3 linked regions of the Schizosaccharomyces pombe genome follow. The protein of the gene in region 3 purifies or fractionates together with the protein of the main gene of each other region. This does not show direct contact. Each region holds a gene or a part of one and is shown on either strand. Other genes may lie near its edges. The genes, in order: rim1, ssb2 and exo5.

Region 1 (4,397 bases), on a different chromosome or scaffold from region 3:
TGAGGAAAGCAAAAACACCCGATGATTATCTTTCAATTGAGGCTGCACATTCAAACAAAAAAGGTTGATTTCCTGCATAATGGGTTCTGTTGCATGTACAATCGTTTTTCATCACTTACTTCCTGATGCGAAAATTCTTTTACTTAATATTATTTATTGAATTGAATTCACGTTCATGCAGTCTACGTAAAAAAATCAAACAACGAAAACTAATCATTGTAGTTTAAAACTTTTCCCTATGTTTCACATATGGAATGGAGCGGCAATAGTCTGGTAGAGCAGTCCATTTCAAAGTAGCGCATTCCATACTATTTTAATCATACATTTACGTCGGTTTAAAAGACACGAATAATGTTTAAAGGTAAGATAAATAAAATGTATAATAAAACTTGAGAGCGTTTTCTCTTGTTGATTATAAGTCTACCACACCTTGATGTCAATTAAGCTAATACTCAGCAAGTACAAACGCATTGTTCATTAAATGCATTTTTATCAATAATTACTATTGGAGTTCAGTCTTTTGCTCTCGCATAAAAATCCGCTTAAAAACTATAAAACCCGCTCAATCACAAATTTCTCAAAAAACCGCTATATTCGCGATTCAGCATTTGTCACAAGCTTCGATTGATCTCATACATAGCATTTTATTCATTTCATTCTCGAACGAACATTGCTGAATTCCATCGATCGATTAGTACGAATTCGAAGCTTAACGAACTTTTGTGACGAAAAGCTGGGTTAACATCATTCTTTACATGTCGCTGTACGTAAGGTAAAAACGTGATGGTGCTTCGGGATGTTGCTTATCATTACCACTCATTAATGTTATATCAGAAGTTTTTCATGGTATAAATAGTACTGTGTTGTTCGCATGTCGGGTTAGCAATACCATTTTAGTGAAAAGAATTTATAACGTTCTTTTCTTTGGTAGTTGAAAATATTGAATATTTCAAAAATACTCAATAGCATTGAAAAACAGCTTGGTTATATTCAATTTTGCTGAATCTCGTTGATTGCTTAATTGAATAATTATCAATTTCCTCGTTCATTAATTTTTGACTTTTTTCTTTTAATTTAATTTTATTTTTTTGTTCATACATTATGTTGGGATCATTTGTTAAGTTAAACAATGGACTTAAGTGCCCTCAATTTGCTTACGGTTCTTACATGGTGAATCGTACAAAATGCTTCGATTCGGTGTATGCTGCCCTTCAATGCGGATATCGACACATCGATTCGGCTCAGATGTATCACAACGAGGCTGACTGTGGAAGAGCCATCCTTAAGTTCATGGAAGAGACTGGTACGAAACGAGAGGATATTTGGTTCACTAGCAAGCTTAATGATTTAAGTGGGTACAAATCTACTTTGAGCAGTATTGATGCCAGTGTTAAGGCATGTGGCCTTGGCTATATTGATCTGTTTCTTCTTCACTCTCCCTATGGTGATCGTATTGAATCATGGAAGGCGTTGGAGAAAGGTGTTGAAGAGGGAAAACTTCGTGCTATCGGCGTTTCCAACTTTGGTCCTCATCACATCCAGGAATTGTTGGACAGCCATCCAAAGATTATACCATGTGTCAATCAAATCGAACTTCACCCTTTTTGCTCCCAACAAAAAGTCGTCGATTACTGTGAATCCAAGGGTATCCAACTTGCTGCCTACGCTCCTCTTGTTCATGGTGAAAAGTTTGGCAACAAGCAACTTCTCGCCATTGCTAGCAAGTATAACAAGTCTGAGGCTCAAATCATGATTAGATACTGTCTACAGCGTGGATTCATTGTACTTCCCAAGAGTTCTACTCCCAGGAGGATCAAAGAGAATGGCGACGTTTTCGATTTCGAAATATCTAAAGAGGATATGGAGAAGCTCTACAACTTGGATGAGGATTATCATTCGGATTGGAACCCATGCGTTTCCCCTTTATAATATGTTAAATGATCGTCTTGTAAGAGCAGAGAATGCATTTTATTATTTATTTCCTCTGCTATCCCTAGATATGCTAGTATGATAGAATTTACGAAACTCAATTTATGTCAGCTTATATACCAAACATGCATCCAATGACTGTTAGTATGAATTAGTATGAATCCGATATTACTTTTATCATATACGATCATAGATTAGAAAATTCGTATTACTTCCATTGATTTGTAAATGCTAGCATAATGTATCGTAAACTTATTAGAAACCTAAAGTACCTCATGGAAATGGCTCATTTTGGGTAGAAATATATTCAGACTCTTTACTATGTAGCTAATTAAAAGCAAATTCTACCCTAACTTTGGTTTTATCAATTCACACACTTCTCCAAGTACTTTTCGCTTCGTATATGCGACGTATGCGCACTTCACTCATCCACAACACCACACAATAAGACTCCATTAATTGCTTTCCTGTGAGCTCAAGGTACTAAAAACATGCTATTCTTAAAATCCAGCAGAGCATTTTCCAAACGACTGTTTTCTTCATCGACTGTTCGTTATAGAGATATTCAACGTTTGACATTGACTGGCAATTTAACAAAAGACGTTGAGCGTTTGCAGTCTCAAAAAGGAAACGAATATATGCGTTATACTGTAGCTTCCAATAATGGAAAAGACGTAGCCCCTACCTTTCACTCGGTTTATGTTTTCGATAGTTACAATTTCGACAGACTTCAAACTATTTTAAGGAAGGGAACGCGTGTTTATGTGGAGGCCGATGCTGTTTGGCGTTCCGTCCCAGCTGGAAATGAAGGATCTCAAGCGAAAATGAGCCTGCGACATGGTACGCAACATTGCAATGGTCCAAGTTGAAGCCTGAAGCAAAATTTGAAAACAGAATATAGTATTTACTAACCTCTCTTATTAGTATCTGCAGACGTTTTATTTTATCCTCGTAACAAAAATGGCGATGAATCCGGAGAAGAGACTCATCCTGAATTAGACGCAGATCCTATGATTAACAGCTTCTAAAATTCGTGTTTCTAGTTTAAAAATTTTCTGCACTTTAGACCGTTAATATATTTGGGTGGTATTTTTCTAGGGATTATTGAGTTTAAAAAGTCTCCTAATTCATTTTCTCTGCATTATGCACATACTTGGTATTGCTATGTATTTTTCATTTGATGTTTATTTCATTATTCCGCTGGAAATAATCTACCCATGGCTCTTCTGATTTGTTTTTATAGACAATAATGTCTCTGCTGTAATGTTTTCATTGCGTTCTAGGAATTACTTAGTCACCTTTACTCCTTCTTTTTCAAAGTGACAAATTTGTTAGTCCTTTACAGTAAATTAATAATCATTTTTTTTTATTTTAAAGTGTACTCTACGATTTGTAATATTCAGTTTCTTTAATTCTTTTCATTTAATGACTGATCCTCAAACTTCGTTAAGTTAGATTTCGCAGCCTCTGTGACTGTACACTACACTTCGTCAAACAAGCAAAGCTCTTTAAGCGCTAGCATTTTTACCAACAGCATCCACTATTGGAATGGCAGGTGACGAGTTAAAGGGCAAGAAGCGGAAATATAGAGATTCCCATTCCGGTGATGAAAAATCCGTTAAGATATTGCCTTTGAGTGAATCGAGTTTACCACCACTTGTCACGACAATTTCCGGATTTTATCCACCCGAAAATACCCGGTTCCAGCTTCTCAAAAAGAGCAATCAGAGCAACAGAGATGCGTCGTTAATTGGAAGGACAGAGCGTGTTCAATTTGAGGCTAAAAATCAATCAACGGCTACGGTTGAGGCAAATTACTGTTTAGCTGTTGCTGATAAAACTGGTCGTGTAAAAAAGATTGTTCCAGCAAAGTATCTTAATACTTTTGAAAGAAATATTTTGGCACTTCAGGAGAAGGACAAATTTTTGAAAAAGAAGCATGGAACTGTAAGCGGTACTGTTATGGAACAGCGTGCCAACTTGGGTTTGGCATTTGGTACAAGAAAAAGTCAAAAAGCTATTATGGAAGAGTCCGCCAATCGTGTCAAAGCTGAAACTTTGGGAGATGTCAAGGATCAATTGGTTAGTAATGTTCAAAAAGCTACTGAAGCACTTCCAACGCAAGAAGATATCGCTGCTGCTCAAGCGCAAGATCGCCCTATTCCTCCTGTCAATGTCGGTGCTGAATCCATTGAAGATGCATACAAATTGGAGGACATTATTCCCAAAGAAGAGTTTTCAGCTATTTACATTAAGCCTCTGTTAGAAAACCCTGACGAGCGCAATTGGGCCAAATTATTGCCGTACCGTCACTCCTTGTTTATTAATGAACGCTTCCAGCGATTACTTTCCATTGAGGAGGTTGACCAGAAGCGGGCGAGAATTTTGTATTACATTTCTCTTTTGCAAGCTTTTTTGTTTTCTCGTCGTTCTGTGGGCAACCGTGAAACTTTACGTAAAAAATTGGC
Region 2 (7,405 bases), on a different chromosome or scaffold from region 3:
CCTTCAATTTTGACAACTGGTTATTCTTGTGTAATGCACATTCATACCGCTGTCGAGGAAGTTTCATTTGCCAAGTTGCTCCATAAACTTGACAAAACAAACCGCAAAAGCAAGAAACCCCCCATGTTTGCTACCAAGGGTATGAAAATTATTGCAGAGTTGGAAACACAAACTCCGGTTTGTATGGAAAGGTTTGAGGACTATCAGTATATGGGCCGTTTCACTTTGCGTGATCAGGGTACTACGGTTGCAGTTGGCAAAGTCGTAAAAATTTTGGATTAGGGTAATTTCGGCAATTTTCTCGTGCTCGGGATTTGTTTCTATGCAAATGTATGACACTTTATGGTTCTACTGTATATAATCCAACTAGGACAAAATGGGATTTGCTTATTTTTTAGTTGGTGGACTAGCGGTATGGTAGAAGATGTATATCTAATCGTTATATACGCGTATTACTATGCCTAATTTCAATGCGATGGGTTGTATATATGAAGAATAATGGACATTCACTCCTTTACACCCTATTCACTTTGAAATTATTTACTTTTTTCGTACAGAATTCAATGCGAGGAGTAGGTCAGCAAATAGTAAATAAGCAGTTGCACTTTGCAGCTATGGAAGGGTGAAATGTGATAATAAGTTGTTGTTTTTTTACAATCCATATTAATGATTAAAACTACACTTGAAATCTTCATAATATTGTAAAATAATAGTTTATTTAAATCACTAGATATACTGAAATTTATTGTGCTACTACACCAAATCTTACCGAATAAATACCGAGGTGGATCATATTTACAGTAATCCGATCATTCTACCGTTTACATTCCACCAGCATTTCTGTACCGTATCCGAATTTCACGTACTCTTTTGACGTTGCTTGGTTTTAAGAGTAAGCATTGAAGTGTTGAAAGGTATAGTTTTTGCTATTCCGTTTAGGAATACGGGACATTGACGTTTTGAGATGACACTGCTGGAGCTCCAAAAAGAATGTATGGTTATTTGTGCTGGTGTATTACTAACAAATAAGTGTTTCTTAGCAAAATTAATTCAGTAGAATGTGCTACGAAGGTAAGAGATGGAACCCGTGAAACTTATAACGTGCACTGAAATGTTTACTGGGAATTTTGATTTGGATATTGTTTAAATGGAATTGAATTTGTGAATATGCAGCATATTATTTCCTCCGACATATTTTTTTTAAACTATCAAAATTGGCCTATTTCTAATTTGGAGCCGTTCAGTTTCACATCTTTGGCTTTTGGTTTGTGCCTAACAGATAAATAGTGGAAAGTTCTAATCGTGGATACCAAAACAGCGGACATTATTAACCATTTTATCACTATTCACAGCCTTTTAGAGGAGAAAATTGCCGCTGTCGAAATTTTGGAGAATCCGCGTACCCCCAATTCGTCATTCGAAGCGTTGTATATACTTCATTCAGAGGAAAAATTAGTTGATTGCATTCTGAAAGACGAAGAATATGATAAAAGGTATCCAGGAATACATATCGTATTCCTAGACATGGTGAAGGAGCCACTAATCAATAAATTACGAACGTCTAGGATTGCCTCAAAAATTCGTACAGTCCAAGTCGCCTATTTGGATTTCACTAGTCTTGAATCAAGATATTTTCAAGTACATGATTCCTTTTCCGGACTACGCCTTTACCATCCATCTAACGCTGCAATCATTCGTCAAGAGCTTTCCAAGGTTGCGCATGGAATTTTTTCAGTTTGCGTCAGCCTTGGCATCTCCCCCAACATTCGTTGTTATTATCCAAAAAATGCCCCACATGCATCCAAAACGATGTCCTTCATTTTAGCAAATCAACTAAGTGAAATTGTTGAAGAATACTGTTCTAAACACCCGGGATACCATGAAGCCGCCTCAAAATCTACTTGTCTAATTGTCGATCGATCATTAGACACTGCAGCTCCTTTCTTACACGAGTTTACGTATCAAGCTATGATTCATGATCTTTTACCTATTAAGAATGAACAATATCCTTATGAAATTTTGGGTCCTCAAGGTACTGAGAAACGTACTGGTAAATTGGATGATGATGATTTAGTTTACACGACCATTCGACATATGCACATGAGAGATGCTATTGAAAAGCTGATGAAAGATTTCAATCAATTTTGCATCGACAATACTCTGTTTCTTGATAAAGAACGTGCCACGTCCCTGAATGACATGCGTAGTATGTTGGCGGGTTTATCCGATTTTCAAGAGCTCAGAGATCAATATTCATTACATCTAACAATGGCTCAGGAATGCATGAATATTTTTGAAAAACAGCAATTAAACTTGATCGGTGCTATTGAACAAGACCTTTCTACTGGCAGCAACGTTGAAGGCAAAGTCCCCCGAAGTGTACTTTCTGAACTGCTACCCCTATTGGATGAAGGTAATGCAGAAGAGAGTACCAAAATTCGCCTTCTTCTTTTATACATTATATATCGTGATGGAATCATTTTGCAGGACCTATTTCGACTTTTCCGTCATAGCAATCTATCAACCTCTCGAGAACAAATATTTCAAAACCTAGAGCAGCTTGGAACAAGGGTGATTAAAAACTTGACTGATCAAAGCAGCAAGAGAAAAGAGGTTGCAAATTCTCTTCCCGCAGGTGAAGATGTTTATGAACTTTCAAGATATGTTCCCACTTTAAAGGTAGTCTTGGAAAATCTTATCCAAGATAAGTTGGATCCAGAGCTTTTTCCGTACGTCCGAAATACCACTCCCCAGACAGAAGTAAGTATGGAACAGACCTCTCTACGTAGTTCCCGACCATCTTGGACTCGATCTCGTTCAATGGCTTCCAAATTACCGCGAGAAAAAATGCTCGTTTTTGTTGCGGGAGGCACTACTTTCAGTGAATTACGAACCTGTTATGAACTTTCCGATAAATATAACAAAGACATTTATATTGGGAGTACAGTATGTTATTCTCCAAATGAATGGTTGGACTTTTTCTCAAAGTTCCAACAACCAAGAGAGGCATTAAAATTTCCTGAAGATAAACCCAGGCATATACCATGCTTAGAGGCTCGCCCTAGTCCTAATAGAATACAAGAACAGCCAAACATTGATGTACCTTCGACTAGATATGAAAATACATCATCTTCCGACGCTGTTTCAATTCATAAAGATGAAAAGAAAAGTAAAGGAAAGTCACATAAGCTAGGAAAGCTAATGATGAGCTCAAAGAAAGACAAAGACAAATCTAAAGAAAAAGTACCCACTTACGGAACCAGTGATAAAAAGAAAAAGAAGCGTTTTGGTGTTTTCTAGATTTAAGTGCCTTTTGCTTCATTGCACCATGTGAGAATGTATAATTACCAGTTTTAATACTGGCTTTTCTAAGCATTTCAAAAAATGGCCCTATAATCCCAATAAGCTAACTAGGTATTCAACTAGAATTTTGTTTTGAGTTAAAAATGTAATGACTATTCATATTATTAATGAAAGAGCGAGTTCAATCTCAAAAAAAGGAATTCCTTGCCCAAAAAACTAATATCTATGCAGTGAATCCCATTTTAGTCTGCTGTTATATAATTCAACGTGTTCATTTGGGGTATAATTATGGTTCTTGTTCCCAAACAATCAAATGAATTTAATGAACAGTTAATGGACGAAGCAAAAGCTTTAACCTCGAAACGCAATACCAAAATCATTATTTCAAAATCATAAAAAGCGTTATTGGTCTTGTAAAACACTTTTAAAATGATTTTCATCAATTGTTGTGTAGATGATTCCTTCTTGTTGAAGAAAATCAGTAACCGCCGTAAGGTCTATACCGGGACCCACGCTTTGAGCAAGTTGTCTAACGTGAACACCTTCATTCGTCTCTGGTGCACTATGGATAGCTTGCATAACGGTCATTTGTGCGGGGGTTAGTGAATATTCAGCTAGTTTTTGTTCCAGAGAGTTGGCAGCACCATTTGAAGAAATGTTATTGTAGCCTAGTGCGTTGGAAGTTCCGTAGCCTGGAGCGTTGGCTCCGTTCACAGCATTTGCTTTCTGAGTGAAATGTAGGTGTACAGCAATTGCTTCAAGGAAATGAAAATGGACTTCATTATGGTCTTTAATTGTACGGATGTATTGAGAAGCAATGTAAATTTTTCCAGAAAATATTTTGATGTTTCCATACACACGAACATAGGTGTCTGTAGCAAGTTCAGATAGCGCATCAATGTGTTCCCAATGCCTTACTTCAATCATTCCTGTTCCATCTTCTATTTGATATGTTGTGTTTGTAGTTTGAGCGTGAATGTTCCGTAAAACTCCTACAAAAGTAACCTGTCCGACTTCAACGCCATCTATCTTGAATTCTGCATCAGCGTGAACTTGAGAGGCATTGAGAATTTGCTTAATGGTAACAGGACGTAATTTATTTCCAGCTCCTTGTTGCTAAACATTGGAAAAATTAGTATTAGATATTTTTATGAATAAGGTCAGTGCTAGTACAAAACTATCAACCAAAAAGTATCACCTTGCGGTTATTCAAACAATAGTTTTAGTATTTTATCCCACTTACTCTATCGACGCTGGGCTGGCTCGATTGATCATATTCATTAAATCCAGCGCCTCCTCCCATTCCTGGAGAAAAAGCGCTATTGAAGTCGGGACCATAGCCCGGCTTGCCAAAAGCATCATAAGCCATGAGCACGTATTATCTCAAATTATGAAAGTTTGTTAGGGTGAATTAAAGAGCGATGAAAAAGCAAATCAACCACTTAAAAATATATCTGCGATCTTTTAGAGAGTGATTTTTAAATAATTGAATATAAAGTTACAGCTGATTCCACGAGTAGTCTACTTTTCAGTGGTGTGTTTAGTACAAGTTACGAGTCGCGTTTCGCGGTGGTGTACCGAAAAGAATAAAATCAAGCAAGCGTGCTTATATACTACAATGTAATAAAATTAACTGTTTTATTTAGAAAACCATCTTACATCTACTTTTTTTCTCTATAACCGTATAGTTTTCAATACAAAAACCTACTAATCACGGGATGCTCAATTGACTTAAAACGCTTAAAGCAATCAGATACTGTGCTACCATTCTGCTTTACCAAATGTAAAGAAAAACTAAAAAATACATTATTAAATTTGTAAACATTAACACATTCATATGTAACAAGAAGGCATGGAACAAATGTCCGACGCAATTTTACAAATCGTATAGGAAGAAAAGCGATTTATCCACAACAAAAGAATAGCTAATGGTGAATGACTATTCGCACATCGACATATACAAAATAAGAACATAAACGTATTGCTATGCACAATCCATCCATTTTATGTATTGAGGAAATATAGTATTGGGGACATAAATTTTGAATATAGTTTTGAAGACAGATGCTTAATGCAAGCAGTAAAATGTAAGAGCATCTGAAAAATGAAAACGAGTGAATGATAGTTGGTAAAGCTGAACATAAACATTCTATATAAGGAAGAATTGTTTAGGCGACTAAGCGTTCCAAAAATGAATTCCCCGAGATGAATAGAAAACTGTCATAGACACAGTACATATATATACATCGATAATTGTGAGCGGCCTTATCAATTTGAAGCAGCCAAGCTTTAAACCATCTTCCAATCCGAGCCTTTTGCCAAGTTAAGTAGTGCCAAAATTTAATACTTCGAAATAAATTCTGGGAAGCGAAAATTAAAGTATGACATATATTAGAGGTGATGCAAAAATGGGAGATATTAAAATATTAGTTGGTTTACCACAGTTGTTTCCATTCACATTCCATTGTCATTCACTGGATGGCTTTAACAAAAAAGGAAGACATATGAATGCAAAGGCTATGAGAAAATTTTAAGAAGTAAAGTGATAATAAAATCGTCATAAAAAGAAATTATAATACAAGAAGAGGAGCTTGTGAGACTTCACCATAAACAAAAATAAAAAGAACAAATCCTTCTATTTTTCCTCACCAAATTTACCCCGCCACCATTTTAAAGTCAACTCCTTTATTTGATCCCAATAACTTTTACTCGAATCTCTTTCCTTCAAATACGTGTAGCCACGATAACAAATCCAAATAAAATCTGACAAGGCAATAAAGATGGCAACGAAGTTGTCTGCAAAGACTGCAACAAATGCGAATCGTTTGCATGAACCAGAGCAGTGCAACGGTTGGGCAAGTATAACGATAATCTGTATTTGAGGGAGAATCCACATAAAGATAAAAATTGCAGGATAAGCAAACAAAAACTTAGACTGACTTAAAATGCGTTTCCGTTGTTTAAGGAGGGGATCATCTTGCATATCATTTCCATATGCAGCCAAAACACTAGAAGCACCATCTTCGTCACTAGTCAATGGACTACTGAGTTTAAAACTCGTGTGATCTTCAAGGCCATTTGTGCGATTTGGACTATCCCTAAAATCCTGTTCGAAATGTATTCCTGATTGATTTAGATTAGCAGGAGTAGACTGCGAACCAGGAGGCAAATTAGGATGCACAGAGGATAGTAACGGTCTCGAATAGGGAGAAGGTTGAGACTGCGAGGAGTAAATGGATTGAGAATTAGATGGAGTATATGTTAAAGTACTGTTGGTGTCGGGAAATGGTGGAAGAGCTACTTGATCCGGAGCGGTAGGATACGAATCAATGACATTTAAAGTATCAAACACATTTGTTTGTTGATGTGAGTATTTCTTGAAACGTTTGATTTTCCTTCTGATCGAGATGAACATGCAAGTTTGTAAAGCAATAATTGCAATACTTAGCGCATAATCAAATGACCAATTCAAACCAAACATGAATCGTACAGGGGTATAGGGAAGGTAGCATCGGGTTTGTAAATTGACAAATGTATTTCTTTTATTGGTAAAAGCAAGTCCGCCAATAGTTAAAGGAATTACAAATGACAGTGTAAACACAGTATGCCGAAAACGATATAGACCCCTTCGTTCAGTATCAACATGGGGGAAAAGCACCAAAAGAGCATTATGCAATATGTTGATAAAAATCCAATAATCAGTCATCCGAACAAGTACCAAAAGAAAAAATCCAATTGTAAAGCATCGATGTTTTGGAGCCCAAAAAAAAGGATCGCTTAATGCTAGACATGGATGAATCATTTGCACAATGGAACGAATAAACAATACAGAAAAAAGAGCGATATGAAATTGTTCACGTATTGTTCGCCGACGAGACCATCGCCAGAAGATAGCAATTAAGCTGAAAACGATAGATATGGCTGAAGCTATAATGACCATGATTCTCAGGTTAGCTAACTCTCTGCGAGAGACAATGATGATGGAACTCGTACTCGTGGCATCGGAAACATTAAACGTATAATCTAAATGAAGCATGAGCAACCTTGTTCCTTATTACAAAGTTTAAACTTCTCTTCAAGAAGACAGGAAAAAAAAAGAGAG
Region 3 (5,297 bases):
TTGAACTAGATGTAGTATTTGTAAACACACTAGATGATAGGGAAGATGTACTGTTCCAGTAGAAATAAGTTGTGTTGGAAGACATAGAGGCGCTATTAATACTACAAGATGTTTCACTTTGAACGATGACTACAGACGATGATTTAACATCAGTCATAAAGTAGTTATTTGTGCCAATAAGGTTAGCAAAAGAACCACTTTCAGAGGAGGAGAAATGGAAAGATCCATAGACACCATAACTTGCAATTTGACGGAAAAGTGAAGAGCTAGTCGTTGCATTACATAATGCAAAGCTCCTAAGGATGGAGACTTCAGAAAGCACAGCAGCTGTGTAAAAATCTAATCCAAAAATATTTGCAACCACATCGTCTACACACTTGAAATTGGAGGAAGTCCATCCATTCGTATTGACGGTGTAGTTGGAGACTGCCGATCCATTGTTCGTGACAGAAACCGTAGACATATTAGCCCTAGGGGTACCAACAACACAAAGCCTAGAGGTAGAGTAATTAACATATTGTTGACTTAAACCGAAATAAGAAAATATTTCCGAATTTACGCTAACGACTGAACTCTGGCTACTTGAGCTACTGCTTGAGCTTGTGTTTGTAGCAGCAGAAGTTGAACTATTCCATGAAATGGAACTATTAGTGGTTGAATTGGTTGGATAGACTGATCCTCCAGAAACACTTCCGGTTGAATTCATTGTGGAAGTGGAATTGCTGGATGACTGAGTATAGTTGGAAGCATAACCTGTAACAGAATTGGCCAGGGAAGAGAAGACACCGAAAGACACGTCGTCCAAAACTAACAGTTGCGCATTGTCAATGTAATCCAAAATAGGGCTATAAAGTACTGACCCAACAGAACTCTGACCCGATGGACCGTAAATGCTTGCCCATCCTGGTGAAACAAGTGAAAATCTCTCGCGAGAGGAAATCCATTCAGTACCGTTAAATAGAACTACGTCTATAACGACATCTTGAGAAGTAGTATTATTGGCATCGACAGGAGGATAAATGGCCAAATCTTTGTCATTACTAGGAATGCCTGGTGATGGTAGAGCATTAGCTAGACCCGCGGCACCTAGGAGAGAAACAAACAAGCTACCAAAGAATTGCATCGTCACCGAGATCTAGAAAATGCAATAAAAAAACCATGCTCTTTTAAATAGAGATTTAACACAAATTATATCGATTACATAGAAATGATTTCAATTGCCTCTTAAAGATTGATAAAAAAATTAAAAGTTGATGACTTCAACAACCTAGCAGCCCTATCAAAATATGATGGAAGAAAATCGTTGCTAAACATATAGGATGCCAATGACCAACTATGTTCTGGGAATCTTTTCAACTGTCATTATTCCCAATTACGGACTTGAAAGAGGGTAATACTGTTTCTTTTTGAGCCACCAACATTCTTTCTGAAATTCACAACTTCGGCATTTGTAGACTTCCTCTGCAGGAACGCCTTCAGGCTCCCTTAAATTGTGCCAAAATTGATAAGCCTTAGTATAGGAAGCTTCTAATAATTTATTGCTAAAAGAGAATTTGTCTTTGTATACCACTTCTCCTGTTTTGTCATTCCTGTATGCCTAGTAAAAGATGTTAGTAACGATAGTTCAGACAATCATATTACGAAAAGGATTCTAATCATCGTAAAAAAAATTAAAAGTTGTAATGATAACGAAATAATTTTCGAGTTAATTGGTTGTGTCACTTACAATGGTAAGATTGTCATCAGTAAGACGTAAATGCAACTTCTTAGCTGAAGCAAATACGAGTGCATAAAGTCCATTTAGCGAGTTATGACCTGCAAAGACATCTTCAGGAATATCGGGAATTGAAAGAATTGATTGCTCTAAAAATTTCGGCCCCAAGTCCTTGGTGCCGTCCAGCGATAGTTGGCTCAAAAACATGTTCCACCAGTGACTTTGAGAATGAAGTCTGTTAGAATATGTAGGAGAAATATCCCTAAAAATGCTTTGTTGTTTTTCTCCTAGAGAGGGGAAATAATTTAAAAAGAGATGAACGTAATACATTAGTTGTACTTTGGAACTAAGAATTTGTGAAGCTCCAGGCTTTCTGGAAGAAAACCGAGTTTTATTGTCAACAAAACTTAAATCGTACATTTTGAAATTGAAGTAATTGCGGATGTCACTATTAAAATTGCTTTTTGAAGGGTTGTTTAGACTTATTTCATCAATAATGCCAAAAATTGAGGACTCTTTGTAATATCCCCAGATTGGAAACTCTCTTGTAATTCCATTTTTTTGTAATAACATAATACCTTCTAATTGCCTTAATAATCGTAATGCCCATGGTTCCTCCTTGGATGTCCGATCAAGCACTCGACGTTCTGATGGAGGGGAGGTTTCATACTCAAGTATTTGATGCAGCTTAATTCCGCGTTCCATCTTCGGGGTCTTTTTTTTAATTCTTCTCAATAAATAGTATTCATGTTGCACTTCACACCACAAAGGTAAAACAAGGTCAGTAACCTAATAATAGGTTCTGTCAGTAAATGAAAAACATGCAATTGATTAATGCTTGTAAATGATTATGCTAAGAATAGCATTGTCTCAATCCGCTATTATAAATCTGTTGACAAAACCATAAAAAATCATTCACAAACTTCAGAAAGACCTTACATTTAAATAACCTTTGTGTTTTCGAAACAGTTGGAATAATGAACTTTCTTTTAACATTTCACAAACTGAACGTTGATTATTAGCTTGTCTGGTTCATGACTTGAGTGAAATATATCGTACCTTCGTCCTCTAGTTTAGAAATTTCCCTGCTTACGAGCAATTGTGGTGGAATGCTCAAAGAATAATCCAATTGGCTAATAGTCAATCTTTGTGTTTCAAGATAGTCCATATAAGAGACTAATTCGCTCAAATCTTCCATCTCAAAATCTTCATATTCTTCCATAGACTTAATGTTTCGTTAGGATGATTTATTCAGGTGCGGGTTACGTTAGTTCACACATTTAATAGAATAATTCTTTTTTTTAAAGTAACCAACCAGACGGTAAAAAAGCTTTACACTAGTTTTATTAAAATGGTGGAACGTAAATGTCTAGTGTAACCAAAACTAGCAATGTAAACTGTGCTAAACTATTGATGATAGAAGTACTTTCACAGTTTCTTTTCGTTCAAAGAAATTAAAACTTTGAACAAGTAGATTAAGTTTCTGGCAATGTCAAACTACGTTTGTTAATGGCTAATGTTATTGCGGCACAAAAACTAATTATCAGCGATGCTTCAATGTCTAAGATGGAGGTCTATTTCATTATAATTGTTATTAGTAGATTCAAAAACCTTTAATCTAATTTAATTTTGTCATCTAACTCTATGCAAATTGTTTCATAAGATAAATTAAAGTATTTCTCTATTAATTTCCCAGTTCTTTAATATACAAAATTCATTTCAAAAATCCAGAACTCTATAAAAAACCCATGTTTTTCTTATAGTTATCAATTTCTGCTTGGGTCAAACGATCTTGAGATGACCAGTCAGCAGAAGAGCTTCTTGGTCGAAATCGAATCTTCGATCGATCCTTCGATCGGAAATACTCATCCATTTGCAGAGGTTTAATCATACCGAAAATTTTGTCTGGATCCCACTTTTGTTGTCGTTTTAATTGCTCTCGTAACTCAGGTGATTCAGCCCACGATGGTAAATTTACCTTTTTCTTATTACCTTCATCATCTGAATCATCCGAATAATCGCTATTTATTTCTGGTAATTCCACAGACGTGTTAGGCGATAGGGATCCATATCCAGGAAAATAATTCGACTTAGGCGTTTTCAGTAACGGTGATTTAGAAGAGGGCTCCTGCATAGACGAGTTCCTACCTTTAGCTGGAGCGTGCATAGAAGCTTTTTCAATAAAAGGTTTATTTGATTGTGAAGTACTAGAAGATGGAAGCTTTCCTTTCATAATACCATTCTGCTTAGTAAAAGGGTTGACGTTGTGATGCATTGTTTTGAATCCATGTTGATTCGTAAGACCGACATTACCATGTACGGGATTCTTATTTTTTTGTGCAGCTATCTTCTTTTTTCGATCTTCATTCTGACTATTAGTGGTCCCTATATCGAAGTTGTTTCTCAAACTACCAACAGAAGGCTGAGTTACAGAAGTAACTGAGTCAGGCTCCATTTTTTTTGGAATAGTTGAATGAAATGCCAATGACATGTCCTCAGCTAGCTCATTCGCAAACCTTTGAGTGGGTTTCGACGTGACGCGTGTTAACCCAGATTTTAGCATATGCCTTGAAGTTGCACCGTTGTCGGTTAACGGTTTCTTCTTTCGTAAATCTTCTTGTCTTTTTAACATATTTGAATGCCATGAAGCATTCACATTTGATGGGTTAGTAACAAGTCTTTTGGTCGTTGGTTTTTCTGATTTTTCCTCAAATGGCTTATTTGAGTGCATGCTTTTACTTGATGGTATAGCATCTGGTTCAGAACGAGGTTTATCGGAAATAGTATGTTCCATATCCCTAATGTTAGATGAATTGGCTGATGTGACAGTTTTGGTCTGACGACTTGGAAATTCGTTGTTTGATAACTCTCGTTCTTTACCATAGAACTTTTTGAAGCGATGAGTTTCGTTTTCAGAAGAGCGGCTTTCCATATTTGAAGCATTTGCTGCTCCATTTTTTGCTTTTCGCTTTTCAGTTTGCTCAAGTTCGCGTTGAGAGGCTGTGGCCACACGAATTGCAATCGGACGTGAATGCGGAGCAAAGTTGTGATCAGAATTTTGACGAGAATCATCATGCAATGGTTCAGATAACTTGTGCAGAGATTTTTCAATAAATTCCTTCTTGGAAGGCGGCAAAGAAGAGTCCGTATTTTCGTTTGCATCCGATTTCAAAGCGTTTGAGCTTGGTCTAGAATTTGAAGAATTAAAATCATTTGACGACTTTCTGGTTGAAAGCCTTGTGAATGTGCTTATCAGGGGGATCTTAGGCGCTTGAGTGATTACAGCATGACTTTTTGCAGGGCTTAAGGAAGACTCGTCGTTTTTATTATTCAGCTTCATTTTAGCAAGGTGCAAATCCTTAGCTGCAGAGTTTTTAGCAGCATCTAAAACTGCATTAATCGGTTTCTTCGTGGGCGGAGTCGAAGGAATTAATCTTTTATTAGAACTTACTTCTTGTATTTTCTGCCTTAATCGTTCGGCACGATCATAAGTTTTCAGTTCATAGTGGTTTTCATTGGAGGCAGTTAGCTCGTTCAATTTAGCAATAGAATCGGGAATTTTGGCTTCAAAAAAGTCAAACTC

The links.
Region 1: the proteins of exo5 (region 3) and rim1 purify together in Schizosaccharomyces pombe (co-purification; one study listed by BioGRID). This does not show direct contact.
Region 2: the proteins of exo5 (region 3) and ssb2 purify together in Schizosaccharomyces pombe (co-purification; one study listed by BioGRID). This does not show direct contact.

What each region holds. Positions count from the first base shown.
Region 1 is NC_003424.3:3,926,341-3,930,737, reverse strand, and holds rim1 (single-strand DNA-binding protein Rim1), read left to right. Parts: upstream 1-2,360; 5' UTR 2,361-2,420; coding exon 2,421-2,769; intron 2,770-2,853; coding exon 2,854-2,957; 3' UTR 2,958-3,287; downstream 3,288-4,397. Other genes in the region: SPOM_SPAC2F3.05C (xylose and arabinose reductase), read left to right, coding at 1,102-1,929; DNA-directed RNA polymerase I complex subunit Rpa49, read left to right, coding at 3,478-4,397. UniProt on the Schizosaccharomyces pombe protein: This protein binds preferentially and cooperatively to ss-DNA. Involved in mitochondrial DNA replication.
Region 2 is NC_003421.2:1,537,243-1,544,647, forward strand, and holds ssb2 (single-stranded DNA-binding protein Ssb2), read right to left. Parts: upstream 4,851-7,405; 5' UTR 4,673-4,850; coding exon 4,547-4,672; exon of another isoform or gene 4,420-4,546; coding exon 3,706-4,419; 3' UTR 3,301-3,705; coding exon of another isoform or gene 1,288-3,300; 3' UTR 1,148-1,287; downstream 1-1,147. Other genes in the region: eRF3-like class 2 translation release factor sup35, read left to right, coding at 1-282; SNARE-binding protein Sec1, read left to right, coding at 965-992, 1,031-1,071, 1,288-3,300; G-protein-coupled receptor Git3, read right to left, coding at 5,939-7,339. UniProt on the Schizosaccharomyces pombe protein: Binds to single-stranded sequences.
Region 3 is NC_003423.3:2,770,523-2,775,819, reverse strand, and holds exo5 (single-strand DNA-specific 5'-3' exodeoxyribonuclease Exo5), read right to left. Parts: upstream 2,968-5,297; 5' UTR 2,937-2,967; coding exon 2,774-2,936; exon of another isoform or gene 2,719-2,773; coding exon 2,654-2,718; exon of another isoform or gene 2,504-2,653; coding exon 1,727-2,503; intron 1,598-1,726; coding exon 1,373-1,597; downstream 1-1,372. Other genes in the region: SPOM_SPBC685.03 (uncharacterized protein), read right to left, coding at 1-1,123; INCENP-like protein Pic1, read right to left, coding at 3,450-5,297.